Linked DNA regions of Rattus norvegicus. The protein of the gene in region 4 interacts with the protein of the main gene of each other region in a pairwise test. Links are inferred from orthologs where the notes say so. Each region holds a gene or a part of one and is shown on either strand. Other genes may lie near its edges. The genes, in order: Pin1, Lims1, Rbl2 and Rbbp8.

The links.
Region 1: the proteins of Rbbp8 (region 4) and Pin1 interact in binary tests that used the Homo sapiens proteins (3 or more experiments, as listed by UniProt). The two-hybrid records come from large-scale screens. The link is inferred for Rattus norvegicus from reciprocal best matches to the Homo sapiens genes RBBP8 and PIN1.
Region 2: the proteins of Rbbp8 (region 4) and Lims1 interact in a two-hybrid assay, tested with the Homo sapiens proteins (2 studies listed by BioGRID and IntAct). The two-hybrid records come from large-scale screens. The link is inferred for Rattus norvegicus from reciprocal best matches to the Homo sapiens genes RBBP8 and LIMS1.
Region 3: the proteins of Rbbp8 (region 4) and Rbl2 interact in binary tests that used the Homo sapiens proteins (3 or more experiments, as listed by UniProt). The link is inferred for Rattus norvegicus from reciprocal best matches to the Homo sapiens genes RBBP8 and RBL2.

What each region holds. Positions count from the first base shown.
Region 1 is NC_086026.1:27,464,258-27,468,489, forward strand, and holds the start of Pin1 (peptidyl-prolyl cis-trans isomerase NIMA-interacting 1), read left to right. Parts: upstream 1-1,384; 5' UTR 1,385-1,390; coding exon 1,391-1,448; intron 1,449-4,232. UniProt on the Homo sapiens protein: Peptidyl-prolyl cis/trans isomerase (PPIase) that binds to and isomerizes specific phosphorylated Ser/Thr-Pro (pSer/Thr-Pro) motifs.
Region 2 is NC_086038.1:26,851,468-26,855,827, reverse strand, and holds the start of Lims1 (LIM and senescent cell antigen-like-containing domain protein 1), read right to left. Parts: upstream 2,819-4,360; 5' UTR 2,755-2,818; coding exon 2,723-2,754; intron 1-2,722. UniProt on the Homo sapiens protein: Within the IPP (ILK-PINCH-PARVIN) complex, binds to F-actin, promoting F-actin bundling, a process required to generate force for actin cytoskeleton reorganization and subsequent dynamic cell adhesion events such as cell spreading and migration.
Region 3 is NC_086037.1:32,093,577-32,097,875, forward strand, and holds the start of Rbl2 (retinoblastoma-like protein 2), read right to left. Parts: upstream 2,836-4,299; 5' UTR 2,770-2,835; coding exon 2,539-2,769; intron 1-2,538. UniProt on the Homo sapiens protein: Key regulator of entry into cell division. Directly involved in heterochromatin formation by maintaining overall chromatin structure and, in particular, that of constitutive heterochromatin by stabilizing histone methylation.
Region 4 is NC_086036.1:3,236,448-3,240,007, forward strand, and holds part of Rbbp8 (DNA endonuclease RBBP8), read left to right. Parts: intron 1-815; coding exon 816-920; intron 921-3,026; coding exon 3,027-3,124; intron 3,125-3,560. UniProt on the Homo sapiens protein: Endonuclease that cooperates with the MRE11-RAD50-NBN (MRN) complex in DNA-end resection, the first step of double-strand break (DSB) repair through the homologous recombination (HR) pathway.

The DNA.
Region 1 (4,232 bases), on a different chromosome or scaffold from region 4:
CACCAAGCCTGACAACTTTAGTTTGACCTTCAGAACCCCATGGTGGAAGGAGAGAACAGATTGCCACAAATTGTCCTCTTGATTACACAGCTTTCATGGCGGTATCCCTTATAAATGTAATAGTTTTTTAAAGTGATTTTTTAAAAATTCTTGAAACAGGGATTCTCTGTGTAGCTCTGGCTGTCCTGGAACTCACTTTGTACACCAGGCTGGCCTCAAGCTCAGAGATCTGATTGCCTCTGCCTCCTAAGTGTAGGATTAAAGGCGTTTGCCACCAGCACTAGGCATAAAGTAACATTTTAAAATTCTTATATATATGAATTGCCTGCATGTATGTATGAATGTGTACCACATGCAGGTCTGGTGAATTGAAAGGTCTAATGGAAGGGCAGCTAGTGCTTTAACCACTGAGCCATCTCTCTAGCTGTCTTTTTTTTTTTTTTTTTTTTTTGATTCGTTCATTCGTTTGTTGAGACAAGTTTCCTGTGTAGCCTTAGCTGTGCTGAAATTCACTTTGTAGAGCAGGCTGGTCTCGAACTCAGAACTGCCTGCCTTTGCCTCCTGAGTACTAGGATTGAAGGTATACATTAACACACCGTTTTCCTCAGACTACCAGTTGACTAAAACCGGTCGTTGGAGCCGCCCACCCTCTCCTACCCCCTTTCCTCGGTCTAGTGGTAATGCTCTCACCCATCAGTCACCTGCCTAGAAGTCAGGAGGAGCCCATGGAGAAGGAATAAGTCGAAGTAGGTTCTAAAAAAGACATGGAAAGTGGGTGAATAAACCAGTGAAATGGTTCGCCTTGCAAAAACCGAAAAGGACTGGTTTCGCTTTGGACATCTGGAGGAAAAGGTGGGAAGAAGAACTCAAAAGCCAAATTTAGGCTCTGAATAGTTAGCCTTTTGTCACCAAGGCAACTGCATTGCTATGGCAACGGCAAAGTACAGCAAAAGCACCCATGTACCTTAGTTCCAGCTGGCCACTTCCGCGTGGATTCTGGCGGACCTCCGAGAAAGGCTTGAGAAGGCCGGATTGGCTGCCGCAGGAGCCAGTCAAATAAGCACTATTTTATCGGCTAAGCGCACCAAAAAGGGTGGAGCGCCCTTTTGACGCTTAAAGGGAGCCGCTTGCCGGGTTGGAGCATCCAATAGACGTAGCTTCCAGACGAGCCAATCAGTAGCGGTGTTGGGAAGGTGAGGGTAGTGGGTGGAGGGTGTGTGTAGGGGTGGTCCAGGAGGCCGCGGGAGAGCCCAATAAAAGGCTCGAGAGCTCGAGGCGTTGTGCTGCCGTCCAATTGGCGTCTCGATTGGATGAGCCAATCAACAGCGGCGCTGGTCTGGCGCGGGGTCAGAGCCGCGGAGGCGGAGCAGGCGCTGCGGCAGGAGGGAAGATGGCGGACGAGGAGAAGCTGCCGTCCGGGTGGGAGAAGCGTATGAGTCGCAGCTCAGGTACCTCTTAGGGGTCGCCCAGGGCCCGGGGCGAGGCCTGGAGGTTGCGGAAGTTGGGCTTGAGCTCGCCTGCACAGGCGAGTCGCATCACCGTCCTGCTTCGGGCATGGAGATCTGGCCTCCTCCGCGGCATAACGGGCCCGGAAAGCCAGATACTGAGGTAGGAGGTGGGGCAGGCACAGGCGCGCCCCGGTTCTCGCCCACCACTGGGCCCCGGTGCTCTGAGGCGACGAGTCTGCACCTCGGAGTTCCCTTGAGAGGAAGATCGGGATTCGGTGCAGAGGGCGTGGGCCGCCCTGCTCTGGTTTCTCGGGCAGCATCCGAGACACGTGCCCGCTCATCCCCCTATCGGGACCCAGGGACAGTGATGGCTCCTAACCAGGACAGTTCGTCTCTGGGTCAAGCATGGTGCCAAACTCTTTGAAAGACTTCAGTTCTTTTACAAGTCTACGCCGGTGTGTGCTCCCGCTTCCCCTCCCCCTCTCCCTCCTGCCTTCTCTCACTCTCTCCTTCCACCCCTCCCTCTCTCTCCCACCCACCTCTCCACTCTTCCTCTTCCTCCTATCCCCACCTCCACCTCTGTTCCTCCATCTCCCTCTCCCTCCTCCCTCGCTCCCTCTCTTTTCTTGGTTCATGCTCTCCTCCCCCCCACACCCCGGTTGCTACCATCTTTCAAGAAAGGAATTGCTCTCATATTTCAAGAGGGAGAAACTGAGGCCAGACATGGAAAGAACTCATCTGATAATGCAGTTCAGTCACTGGGAATGCCCTAGATTGCAATGATTTTTTTTTTTTTTTGATCTCAAATGTCCCCTTCCCAGTGTCAGTGGCAACGCCTAGAGTAGCCTACAAGCATTTCAGGTAGCCAGGGTCAATGCAACCTACAGAGCTCACTCAAAATTCTTAGTTATTAAGCATCAAGGTTCTGGACACTGCATATGTTAACTCTCTGAACCCAGCTAGGTTTAATGTCATTCACTTTCCACCTTTTTATCAAGAGTGGATGTGGAAAGGCATTAGACAGAGCCTCATAAAGACAGGTTACTCTTGAATTCCTGATCCCCCTGCTTCAGCTCCCCCAAGTGCTGAGATTACAGGCATGCACCACTTTGCCCAATTTATTTATTGAAACAATCTTTACTAATAATATTAGTAATACTGTATTTAATGTATGTGCATGTGAAGGTCAGACAATCTTAACTTGCAAGAGTTTTCTTCCTTCTACCATGAGTAGATTGTGAACTCCGTCAGATTTGGCTGCAAGCACTTACCCATTGAGCCATTTTCCTTTCTAAGATGTGTGTGTTTGTGTGTGTGTGAGAGAGAGAGAGAGAGAGAGAGAGAGAGAGAGAGAGAGAGAGAGAGAGAGAAAGAAAGAAAGAAAGAGTGCGCAAGAGCGAGCATGAGCGCTCAGACGATACTTATCCAAGGATGACCTTGAACCTCTGGTGTTCTGCTGGGATTACATCACACAGAGGTAAAGTCTTGCTGTGTAGCCCAAGCTTGCTTCCAACTCATGATCCTTGTGCTTCAGCCTCTCACGCACTGGGACTAAAGTTATAAGCCTTTATGCTCTGATGTCCTTATTCTCTTGTCCCAGTCTACAGATGAGAAAGCTGAGGTTCAGGGAAGGTGACCTGACAAAGGTTTTAGTTGGATTTATCCCCAGAGGCTTTGGGCTGCTCCATTCCTAGGGTGGGGTTGTGACCTCTAGCATAAACTTGTCTCTAACTGGGTGTGGTGGCACACAGCTGTATTTCCAGCACTTAGGCAGAAGCAGGAGGAGATCTGGTTCATGGTTGTCCTGGGCTACGTACACTTTTTTAAAAAATACATGTATGGGTATTAGGCTTGCATGTGTATTCCATATGCATGCAGTGCCCACCAAGAAGCCTGAAGAGACAGTTGTGAGCCTCCACATGGGTACTGGAAATTGAACTCCAGTCCAATAGAGGAGCAGATGGTGCTGTTAATCTCCGGGCCATCTATCCAGCCCCCATAGTGAAACTCTTTTACACACACACACCCCTATACCTGCCCCTCTGCTTAGTTATGCTTGTCATTTGTTCTCAGTAGGACTATGAAAAGCCCTTCCTTCATGGGTAACATCCAGCTCTTCTCCTATGCTAGATCAGCTGTGTAACCCAGGTAGACTCAGCCCTTGGAGTGACCCAGAATCTACTGGGTCCTTCCTTCAGGCTTCTGCCATACCCCTTCCTCCTCTTTTACCTTTCACTTTTTTGAGTCCGTCTTGCAAACTTACTTTTACTGGCTTCAATCTGCAGACATCCATCCTCTTGCCTCAGCCTCCCTAGTGCTAGGCAAACAGCATGTTCCACTAAGCCAGAGTTTTCCCTTGAGGTTTTGATTTTCCATCTGTCTCCTTTATGCCCTCACAGCCACTCAGATGACATCAGGCCCTGAGTAATGCTACCCCTTGCTCTCTGACTTAGGCTACCAGTGCAGGGGTTAAGACTGGAGCTTTGAGGGCTGGGGATTTAGCTCAGTGGTAGAGCGCTTACCTAGGAAGCACAAGGCCCTGGGTTCGGTCCCCAGCTCCGAAAAAAAAGAACCAAAAAAAAAAAAAAAAAAAAAAAAAGACTGGAGCTTTGGAGTAACTTTCTCTGTTTATGCACAAGACACAACTGCTGCTGCTGTGAGCAGAGGAGGGGGAGGTGCTGCCTGGGTTTTTGTGGAACGAAGCAATGGGTAAAAACAGTTATACTCTACCTTTTGGTGATATGTGATCCTGGGACTTGAACCTAGAACCTCACAATGCCATGC
Region 2 (4,360 bases), on a different chromosome or scaffold from region 4:
ACAGAGCAGTTAAAGAACTAAGATATTTCAGGGCTAGAAATACAGTGGTGCAGTGCTTCCCTTACATAAAACCATGGGTTTGACCTCTGCAGAAACCCATGAAAAACAGGCGAGACTGTCTTTAATTCCAGCATTCAAGAGGAGGATGAGAAACTCAAAACCAACCTTGGCTGCCTTAGTTTAGATCCCTGGTTACTTTATGTTCTTGGTTACTATGGCTACATAGCAAGTTCAAGGCTGGCCTAGACTATGAGACCCAGTCTCAAAACAAAACATCCCACCAGGCCTATTTCCCTCCTTCAGAAGCAGACAAAGGACACTGCAAATTTACAAAGACACTAAGTGCCACCAGAGTTTCCCTGTTCATGATGCAACTTCCCTACAGGAACTTTAGGACCAGGGTTGCTCTTCAAGTCTTAGTCAATAAGTCCTAAGAACCAAGTCAAAATCCTGCCTCAAAGAAAGAAAACAAACAAACAGATTGCCCAAGAATAAAAAAGACTATAGCTCTCATTCAAGAAATACTTTGGGGATTGAAGAGAGAGAGATGGCTCAGTGGGTGAGAAACACTAATCTTCCAGGAGACCCAAGTTCTATTCTTAGCAACTCACAACCACCTGTAACTCCAGACTCAAGGTCATCCTCTGGCCTATGTAGGTATATGCACATGCCCATATATATACATAACGTTAAAAAGAAAACCAGAAATACTTGGAAGGCCATGATAGTTTTACCAAATTCTTTACATAGAGGATAAGAATGTGAATTTCTCCTTTAAGTGTCTGTCCTTGATGAAATAAATAATACAGCCATTCTGGAAAAACATTCTGTTCATTTCTTAAAAAGCTAAACATAAAAATTACTATATAATCTGGTAAGTTCATATGCTTAGACATTTTTTATAGAAAGGTAAAACATGTCCACACTAAAACCTATTCATGAACAGCCACAGTAACTTTATTTTTAATTCCTAGAAGAAACCTGCCAATACCCCAAATATCTTTCAGGTACATCCATACTATGTATCTATGGCACATGAAAGGAAGACTGTGTAACTCCACTTATCTGGGGTACTAAAAAGTTAAAACAAGGGAGAAAAATGGTAGTTGCCAGGACCTGGGGGAACAAGGAACGAAGATCTGCTCAATGTGTACGACAGCTTCACTTTTGTAGCTGTCTGAGGGCAATGGCAATGGACCAATATGGATGTACTTAATGCATAAAAATGGGGACAGGGCACACATGGTGGTCAAGAAAACAGACAGGAGGATCACTGACAAACTGAAGGGCAGCCAAAGAGTGAGATTCTACACAGTGAGATTTGGGGTGAGGAGACAGGATCAGGGAAAGCCACCAGACCAGAAACATACTTGAGGGTCCTACAAAGACATCATTCTCTTGTAGTCTGAGATTATACTGTACATCCGTTCTTCTTTACAGCTCATTACCAATTCCCTCTCAACTAGACATTCCACACATCTTTCTTTTTCAGGTGAAAAATGTCCATGGTGAATACAATTGCTCATGTTGAGCACAGTGGTTATACAAACTCTTAACTCTTGGTCTTCTCTTCCTTGGTGCCTGGAACCCAGGGGTATGTGTGCATGCAGTGCTTCTGCTACATACCAAAGTAATCTATCTCAAGGAAAAGCACATGCTATGTTAAGCACTGTACTGAATTGGAAGCATTTTTCTTGAAGTAAGATTTGTTCAGCAAGAACAACAAAAAGACAACCACGGTGACTTAAGACTCACATTTAGGCAGACATTTCCTTGAAACTAAATCATGGGGACAACTGACAATATTTTGTTGACACTGAGAAAAGTTACGATTTCCACTGAAAATTGCAATGCTGGAAAATGAAGCATCTTGAGTTTAACAGCTTTGATGATGTTAACAAAAGTCATTGAAAGACATTAATACGATATATTAGCATCCAGAACCTTCCTTAATAGGGTAAGCCGATAAAACCCATTACAATGAGTAACAGTTCCATTCAAATACAAGACAGCCTGAGGAATTTTCATATAACTGTGAGCTCGGGTTTCATATCAAAACTAGCCTTAAAAAAGAAAAAAACACCTTTTGAACTTCTGGCTCTATCATAAAGAATACCCACAATTATTTGGGAAAGCTATTCGAATATTTCTCTTCACGCGGTCCATCTATTTAAAACCAAATTTCCTTTAAATAGTTCATTCAAAACACATCACAACAGACAATGCAAAAGGAGAACCCAGCTGCTTTTTTTTATTAAGCCAGACGTGGACAGGATCTGTAAAATATGTAACGGGCTATTCGTCTTAACTTTTCTGTTTAGGGTATACTATTTTCATTAAATTGCGTTATGTATGTTAATATATCACGTATTATTCAACGAATAAACATTTTACACGTCCGTGTTCATTTCTAATACAACAAATGTTAACAACAAATGAGTGATCCTAAGACCCTCTGTTTCGTTCTTCTAATCCGTAGAATGTATTTCACATTAAGATCCAAACTCTGGGACAGCATCTGCTCTCACACCCCTAGGCCGCACAGGACAGCTCAGCCGGACCACGAAGGCCTCTCCCGCCTCCGGCTAGGGCGGTGCGTGTCCGGGCCTCTGGCCAGCCGCAGGCCGCACGGCCGCGGGGAGGCAGAGATCGCCCGCCAGCCCGGCCCGGCCCAGAGTAGGCTCGGGCAGCGGCGGGTCGCAGAGCGCGCGCGCGCCCGTACCTGTTGGTCATTCCGGCCGCCACGCCCAGCATCTCCGCGGTCCACGCCGGGTCAGTCTGTGCCTCAGTGCCCGCCGCGGTGGCCGCACCCTCTTCCCTCGCTGCGGCGGCGAGCGGCAGATTTGAGGGCCGGTCCTAGGCAGGAAGGGGGCGGGACGAGGCGGCCCGCGGCCACTAGCCTGTAGTGGCCCGCAAATGGCGGCGTTGACCACGCCCCGAAGAGCGCCAGCCTGGGAGGCGTGGCTAAGGACCTCCAAAACCGGGCTGGGGCGGGGCGAAATTTTGAGAGGGCGTGGGACCGTGTGCTGGGGTGAAGTGTAGACTGGGGGGAGAGCCGGGAAAGGGGCGTGGCGAAGTCAAGGAGCAGCGGCTTGGAAGTGGAGCCTGGCGAGGACCCTCCAGCATTGGGCCGTTACAGGTCTTGGCCCCGCTCCTTAATTGTCATAGCTCCTCCTTCCTCCACTTAGTTCCACCCCCTTCTTCGGCCTGGCCCTAAGCCTGCTTTCTCCAAGTTTGGCTGTGGGTGCTGCTCCTGGCTCCAAGCAGGCAGAGAGGCTTCTGGGTGTTCCAGGGCTGGATGGCCACAGAGTCTAGCGGCCGGGAACACTTGGAAGGGCGTGATGGTCAAAGAACGAGTAAGAGTACCCGTGGCTTGAGGCTCTGACTCGACTCAACTTGGCGTTAGGCTACCTAATCGGTCTACAGAGCGTGGGTACAGGGTTCCACCCGACCTGCGACGGTCCTAAGGAGATTGTGCCAGTGAAGATGCCCTGCAAGTCAGTCTTCCAGGAATGGAGGTCTCATCTGGATTGGCCATTTCCAGTGGGAACTTCCTTGCTCTTGTTAGAATTTTGGCTGGCCTGCAAGATGGCTCAACAATTCAATCCCTGGTGGAAGGAGACAATCATCTCCAATTGTCCTTTGACTTCCAAACACGTATACACAATCAACCCAAAAGAAAAAATGTTGCCATTTTGGGATAGTTGGGTAAAAACTGGCTGCCTCTTGATTAGTGGTTTTTAGTTTCATCAGAGCAATGCCATTTGTGGAATGTGCTCTCAGAGCAATTCTACTTCTGTGGTTGACCAGTCAGCCACAAAGAAAGCTTAGAAAAGTATGGTTGTTCTAGAAAATGGGATTGAATTTCTTACTGCTCAGCTTGACAGTATCTCAGAATAAAAAAGGATGCCACCATCACAATTTCTTTAGTTTCGTTCTGTCTGTCAGCAATCAGCTTTTAAAAACAAAATTTGATATTTGGAAGTTTTTCACATAGGTGTGAATATGCACACCAGAAATACAAAGTACACACAAATTGAAAAAATGATGTGTATGAGTGCATTCATGTATGTCTACTTACCACCTATGCACCCTTCAGAGACTACAAGACAGTGTTGGAGACAGATCTGGGGTTACAGATGTTTGTGAGTTTCCCTGTCTGTGGGTGCTGGGAACTAAACTGAGATCCTCTGCAAGAGCACCAAACATGCTTCACTGCTGAGCTATTTCTTCAGCCCCACAAAGAATTATTGGAAGGAATATTCAAAATAAATAGTTAACTATGTATTTTTTTTCTGAGCTGTGCATAATGGTGCACACCTTTAATCCCAGCACTTGGGAGGCAGCAGCAAGTGGATGT
Region 3 (4,299 bases), on a different chromosome or scaffold from region 4:
ATCGAAAGTGATATTTCTATGACGGCCCTTGCCCACGGCCTCTTCTAGTATGTGACATTGACATTCGTCCATGCATGGTACTGTCTCTGTTCCTTTACCTTGAAGCAGGGCAGAGTCTTATGCCCCTGTACATGATGGTCTTTATTAATACCACAGGTAAAAGTGATGCTATACAATCTCAAAGGTCACAGAAGGGAATGCTGATACCGACTGCCTTCATCTTTGAGGATGTCATAAACCAGCATACAAAGCGTGTGCCTCCCTTCAACTGACATGCTGAGAGAGAATATGGCAGTGGCCAGTTCTACACAGAGAGATGCCCAAGGAACCCTACCATACTGACACCCTTGTGACACAGTGCTTCTGGGTGAGACAACAGTCATTTTGATGCAGACAACATAGCACCTCCTTTGCACTGCCTGAATTCCCAAACTGTAGCATGATATCTACCCCAGCTTTCAGCAAGGATGTTAGGATCTAGGCTCAGGTCCACATGCTTGCATGGTATGTCACCCATCAAGTCCTCTCTCCTCCACTTAAGCACAGCTCTGAGCAATGGTTTCATACGGTGTTTGGTTTGGAGGACAGTTTTGGTTTTTGGTTTTTGGTTTTGGTACTGATGGGTATTAGAACTCAAGGCCTTACCACCAGACACAGTCCGCTACAGCACACCCTCAACCCCATGTTGTCACGATTTCCCCAATTATATGATTTCAAGGGAAACTGAGCTTTTCAACTACTGAGTTTTATTTCCATCAAGATCTGTTAGGAAGAATACAGGTAAGCAGTTAAATTGTCATCTTTGTTCTAAAAAAGGGGGGGGGGGCTTAAGGGAGATGAGAGAACCTATAACTAAATCATCCCCTGAAAAGGAAAAAAAAAAGTCTTATACATGAGGATGCTACAATGCAAGAGATAGGGGCTCAGGAAATACTCCAAAGTGAACAGATATTCATGCCAGTATAAGGTTGTTCGAGATGCACTGTGATAAACACCACAGCTAAAAGCAACTTGGGGACGAAAGGTTTATTTAGTTTACAGGTTACAGTCAGGAACTCCAGGCAGGAACCTGGAGGCAAGAGCTGAACTACGCAATGCTGCCTTCTGTGTACAGCCCAGGACCATGAGGGGTAGCATAGCCCACAGTGGGCGACATCACTTAGCAACTAAGAACATGGCCACAGGCATGCCCGCTGTCAATCTGAGGGAGACGATTCCTCAGTGAGGTCTCCCTCTTCCCAAGTGTGTCAAATTGACAACTGAAGTTATCACAAGGGTAAACTGGGCTAAGAATCAAGATTAAAACCTCACTAAACAAGCCAAATTAAAAAAAAATAAATAATAAACAAACAAATAAATGGAAAGCCTTGGCCAAACAAGAACTAGTGAATATGTTCTCAAAAATAATTTACTAATCCAGCAGGTTGAGCAAGTAAAGGTGCTAGGTGACAAACTGCAGATCTGATGGACCCCCCAGGATCCACCGGGGACACACACACACACACACACACACACACACACACACACACATTTACTAGGCATCTGTTAAATGTCAGTTGCATATGCGACACCAGGCTTCATATTGACTTCGTTTCTGTGAATTGAAGCCTCTGCTATGTTATAGTGCTTATTCTTGCTAATTTACAGTGCCCTCTCTAAGGTGAAGTAAGAGTTCGTTTGGGGGTCTCTATGTCCTTCAAGCCCGAAATTCCCCTCTTTGCCTGGTTCCAGGGAACACTAAGTCAGGAGGAAGGCGACAGCCTCTTCAGCCAGACGGCTTCAGTATATGCAATTATCTGCACGCATACACACATTGCTTTAGTTAAGCTTTAGGTCAGCACTTTGAGGTGGGCACAAATAACAAAACTGCTTACACAACCAAACTGAGTTTCACTGTGGTTGCAAACTTGCCCAGAGTCACTCAGATCTGGGTCTGAAGATGTCCTATTTCTTTTTTTTGTGGGTGTTAACAAATGGAGAGAGGGAAATTCAATGTGTGACGGTTTTTAAAAAATAGAAATAAACCAACTCAGAAGAACGGCACAAGTCCAGCCATCGTATTATAGTTAAATAACATCTTGTTTAGCCTTCGGATCGGGGGCCTCTTTGCCCCTCTCTTTCAGAAGCTATATATAAAAGCAAAGGGCCATCCGCACAGGCAGCGATAAACAATCCGGACTTCCGTGTCACTTCCCATTGGCCCACACAGGGGAGGTGCCTGCAGAGTTGACAGACACTGGCCCAAAGAGCCATTTTCGTCAACTGCAAGCCCCGTCCCAAGAACGGAACATAACAAGCCTACACCTGGATGACAGCCAAAAAGAGTGCCCGTGCTCAGCAACAAATGTTGTGTGTCTACACCCGCTTTTCATTGCCGGGGTTGGGGGGCAACAATCCTAAGCCGTTCTCACACGGAAGCAAGCCGGAAACTTAATGCGTCTCCTAAGACGGCTGCACAGCAATGGTGCGGTGCAAACGACCAAGTGACCCCAGAGCCACCCCGAGTCCCCGACTTCCGCGGAGGATCTGAGCACGCACCTCCAGCGTGTAGCTCTCGCTCATGCTGCGGTAGCTGCTCCAGGCCTCGGCGCGTGCCGCCTCGTCCATGTTAAGGCGGCTGCACAGCTCTTCGAACCGCTGTTGGATCTGATGGCTTGGGGACCCTGCGGGCTGCGCCCGGTCCGCGGTGTCGCCATCCTCCTCCTCTTCCTCTGAGCTGGCTGCAGCAGCAGGAGGGGGAGGTGACGACTGGTTGCCTCCAGATGCCATGGCACACCCGGAGGCCGCGGCTCTTCAGATGAGCTTAGGGCCCGGGCCCACAGCCATTCAAACCGCGAAGCGCCGGCCCGTCAGCAGCCCGTAATGCTACTGTGCCGCCCCCAGAGTTTCTAGGTCCCATGTGGGCACCCGTAGGTCTGAGCATGGCCTGCTGGGAAATGTAGTCTTGGCCGGGCTATCAGGGGAACCAAAAGTCATGGAAGAAGAAAGCAAAAATGCGCTGTTCTTCATTTAGGAGCGAGTGAACGCGCCCTCTCCCATTTTTTTTAAAGCCTCTCTCAATAGTGAGGCCATTCATAAGGTTCTTTTGAAGAGAAAAGGACCAAAAAATATCGACAGGAGAAGCTTTAGTATACAAGCTCTTTACAACACTTCCTCCTCCTAGAGGAGGAAGCTAAAAGGTCCAAAATAAAGATAATAGTTTGGCTGCCTTTTCTAGTTCACGTTACTGTTGCTGAGATAAACACTGACTGTAACCAGCTCGGAGGGGAAAGGACTTATTTCATATTAGTCTTTACAGTCCATCATTGAGGGAGGCTAACACAGGACGCTGCTTACTGGATAGTTCCCTCTTGCTTGATCAGCTACTTTCCTAATAAAACCCCTAGCCTCCACCTCCGCGGCTGCCCACCTGCCTAGGCAAGACCCACAGACCAACCCAACAGAGAGGATTCCTCAAGTGAGACTCCTATGTCAATACTATCTATGGCCAAGGTATAGTGAGCTAAGATTGATCTCACTAACCAAACTAAAGCAAAACAAAGAAACCCTCAACCAAACAATCATGAATGCGTTTTCAAGAATAACTGAAGATTTATATTAGCCATCATATAACCGCTCCTAGGTGAGGCAGAGGGTAAAGTTTACTATAGATAAAAGGAAGAGTGCAGAGCAGGAATGTTTAGGTGAGTCCACAGAGGACAAGACCCTGAGCCACATGACGGGGGAAGGGGATGAGAGGGGGAGGAGAGGGGAGAGAGGGGAGAGAGGAGAGAGAGGGGAGAGAGGGGAGAGAGGGGAGAGAGGGGAGAGAGGGGAGAGAGGGGAATCCGGTGCAGTAGTCAGGAGGCCCGAAGGAACAAAGAGCTAGAAACTAAAATGTCTGGATGATATAGGGAAAAGCAGGAGGCTGGCAAGGGTAACAGGTGGAGGTTGAGGGTTACAGGGAGAACCCAGCAGCCAGGTTCTCTTTGAGATGTTAGTCACCTCAGCCATTTGTCCCAGGTCTGAAATTTAACAGCACCCAAGGGGCTCAGCATCAGTGTTTGTGACTTGAGGTGTTAAAGCTACTGAATCTCTAACTAAGCTTAGATGTGAGGTGAATCCCTAAGAATTTGTTCTTGGAAAAGAAACTTTATTGCATGGGCTTGCCGGTGGAGAAGAGAATCTAGCAGAGATGAGCACATTTGATTGACAAGGGCTGGGGAGATTCTCGGTGGCAAAACATCTCTCACCAGAGATCAACCCTTATAAGTCACATATGTGTGTGCATGCATGTGTGTGTGCGTGTGCGTGTGTGTG
Region 4 (3,560 bases):
ACAGATAGATAGCTATGTGTATAATTTATATCATGGTTAAATTCATCCTTATGAACATCCAGAGAACAACTGCTGTGGTTTTATTAGTAGCTATTTGTATCCATAAAGGCTTATTTTCTAATTGTAAAAAACAAGCATATGACTTTAAAACTTGATTTTAATTTTATTCTTTTTTTTACTTAGAAAGTGAAATACCTAAAAAAAATTTTAAATGACCTAATGACTTAACTAGTGGTAATTTCTTTACCATAGTTACTTATCTTAAAAGTGTCAAGCACTTTTTAATCTTCATGTTATAATTAAAGTATAATTCTGTTCCTTTACCTTATCCTTTGGTTGTCTTTGAACTAAGTATTTAAGCTGTAGAGATTTCCAGTAAAACACATTTTGGTTTTCTTTCAGGACAGATTTTAGAGAAACAGGAGGGGTTGGGGATTTAGCTCAGCGGTAGAGCACTTGCCTAGCAAGCGCAAGGCCCTGGGTTCGGTCCCCAGCTCCGAAAAAAAAAAAGAGAGAGAGAAACAGGAGCCAGTAACATTTTTAGTAAACTTAGTGCCTTGTCCCCAATGAGAAGTGACCGAGCTGTCACTACTGAGGTAACTCAGGTCATAGCAACCAAGCTGTTTCCAGGCCTCTCTCCCACTGTCCTAGCCTATAGCTGGGTTTCTCAGTAGAACTAAAGAATTATGCAAATTATGTCTATAAAATAATGGTGGTTATGCGTTAAAGACAAATTTACATTGACTTACCAGAATAAAGCTAGATAGCATTTTTTATCATTATTTACTGTTTATCCTCTTTCTCCCCCACCTTAGAATTAAGAAAGTTTTCCAAGGGTTCAACTCCTGCACCAGTTAACTCTGAGGAACATGAAATTCTAGTAGCCGACACTTGTGATCAGAGTCATTCTCCACTGTCTAGTAAGTAAACACTGTGGTTATAAGTGTACGGTCGCGGTTATTGCTAGGCAACAAGACCTACAGTCACAGTTAGCCAGTGTTTTAGAGATATGTTTAATATGAGAAAGTAATGTTAAGGCCAATATTAATTCATGTTAATATCTAAACTTATGTGAAATGTTGATGATTAAGTAAGAAAGACTTTTGATTTTTTTCTTTTATCCCTTCATTAAACAAGTATTTAAGGTTCTGCTATGTCAGGCACTGAACAAAGGAAGTATTTGTTCTTTTGGAACTTTTAGTCTGATTATGGGAGGAAGAAAACAAATTTATGTTTGTTTGTATGTATGTTGTAGAGTCAAGTACCTGAAGTCAACAGATGGCAAGGACACACAGTCTTACTAAAGTGACCCTAGAACAGAGGCTAAAAGGAGTGGGTGGCGTCCAGGAGCTGTGTCCGTCCTAGGGAACTCCAGTGTCAGTTGGTCTGTTTGGGGAGCACTATGGAAGTCTGTGAGAGCAGGATGGGTGACAGCAGAGATTTGGGCAGTGGGGGTAATAGAACTGCCCCTTGACAGATGGAAGGGACTCGGAGAAGCTAAAACTCAGAAGTTTGGCTTTGAAAATATTGTCTGAAATTCAAAACAAATGTTCAGATAAAGTTCTTCTTTAGAAGGAAAGGTTTGCGTACTGAGATACGTGTGGAGGTTGTTAACATACTACCTAACACCGTGAGGTAACCAAGCAAGTCAGTGTAGGTGGACAAATCAGTGTAGGTGCACAGGTTTCAGGTACCGAGGCCAGCCTACTTCTGTCATTGTTAAGCAGTGATTTTTTTTCGTTATCTCCGTTTTCAGAGATATTTATTGTCTCTTTCCAGAAATCATTTCACACATTTTCTACCCTAGTTATTGCCCCCATGGAGTTAGTACTATAGAAACACTGTATCTGTTTGTGTACTCTATGTTATTTGTACTTTATATAAAAGGGGAAAGACATGTTAGTCCCCTAAAGCCCCCGCCCCATACACACACAGACATACGCATACACACTGACAGTGTTGCAGCTGTATCTGTTGTGATTTAGAGGTTATTAAAAGGAAGTAGATCTAAGTAGCCAGAAGAAGAACTTCTAGTAGGAAAGGAGGACTAACAATAATGGCCAGCAGGAGACAGGTTACTCCCTCCTCAGCCTCGAGTCATCTGAGGTCTTGCTCCTCATTTCAAACGTCCTCCAGTCTACTAATCCACTGCCTCCTGACTCCCCTACGTGTTCTCTGTGCCCTCTGTACTGTTCTAGCCACCAGCATCTTCAAGACTGCTTTAGGACTTTGTTTCATTCCTTGCCTGTTAGATTTGTTCTTGGCTATGAGGCTGTCAGAGTCAGAATTATCCTTTTACCCAAGTATTTATGTCTGGCCTTTCAAAACTCTTGTCCCTTTTCCTTGGTCCCAGGAGAAATTCTGAACTCTTCAGCATAATCTGACCCCTGACCCCTAGTTAACAGGCGTGAGCTCATATTATGCTTTCATCTTCCACAAGTCGGTGCCTAGCTATTAAATCATACGCAGTTCTCTGAAAAGCCATTTTGTCCCATCTATCTGGGTCCTTAAAGATACCTAAAACCTTGCTTTCTGCCCCCGGTCCTTAAATGGTGGCTTCCCTTTCCCTTCAGCATCGTCATGTTAGGCATCCAGTTGTATAGTTTGTCTTGATTTCCCCGAGCAGATTTAGGGTCCTTATGTATTTAAACCTTTATTATGTTTTTTTTTTTACATGCTTCTGCAAATTCTGTTTGGTTTTTCCCTTAGAAAACAAAAGTTCTGTTTTTTACCTTTTACTATAGCAACGTATAACTGAAGTGTTGTACTAAGTTACTTAAGGAAAAGTAGAAAACTTAGATGAATGAAAAAGTCTCATAATTTGTCTGCTAAAATATCTTAACACATGGCTATTTATAAGAAAGCATTTTGGACCTTTTGAACAGTTTAAAATGTGTCCACTGTCATCTTAAAAATGGTACCTTGATTTTTTTCCTAATCTTTGTGATTTTCATGCATTGATTCTTCTTCTATGTGATTTTTTTATATCTTTTTTAAATTGTCTGTGTTTTTTTTTTCTTCTTTAGAAATATGTGGAACAAGCAGTTACCCCGCTGACAAGTTATCTTCTAACTTAGATGCTGTTGTTGCTGAGACGCTTGGACTTGATGGTCAAGAAGAATCTGTAAGCACTCACTCAGTTTGATAATTATGAATTGTTAATAATTCACATGTCCACTTAAATCTGTTCTTAAAGAGTTGAGGAGGAGCTGGTTATGATGGCACAGGCTGGTGGGATGTGCTGAAGACCCAGGGCTCCCTCTTCGTGAGAATGAGCAGGAAAGAAGTCATTTGAGCCCATCATCATTGGACAAAGGCCTAAAGCAAAACTGTCACTCTCTTTTCAGTGCAGTCAGAGCGACAGACCCTTAGGGTATGAGCTGCTTGAAGCTTAGACAATTTATTTTGCCAGTTCATTTATGCCCCTTCTCCAAAACATGTTTCCTTCCCATATTTATTGTAAGAAAACATCTTTAAGATTGAATTTTCTGGGGTTGGGGATTTAGCTCAGTGGTAGAGTGCTTGCCTAGGAAGCGCAAGGCCCTGGGTTCGGTCCCCAG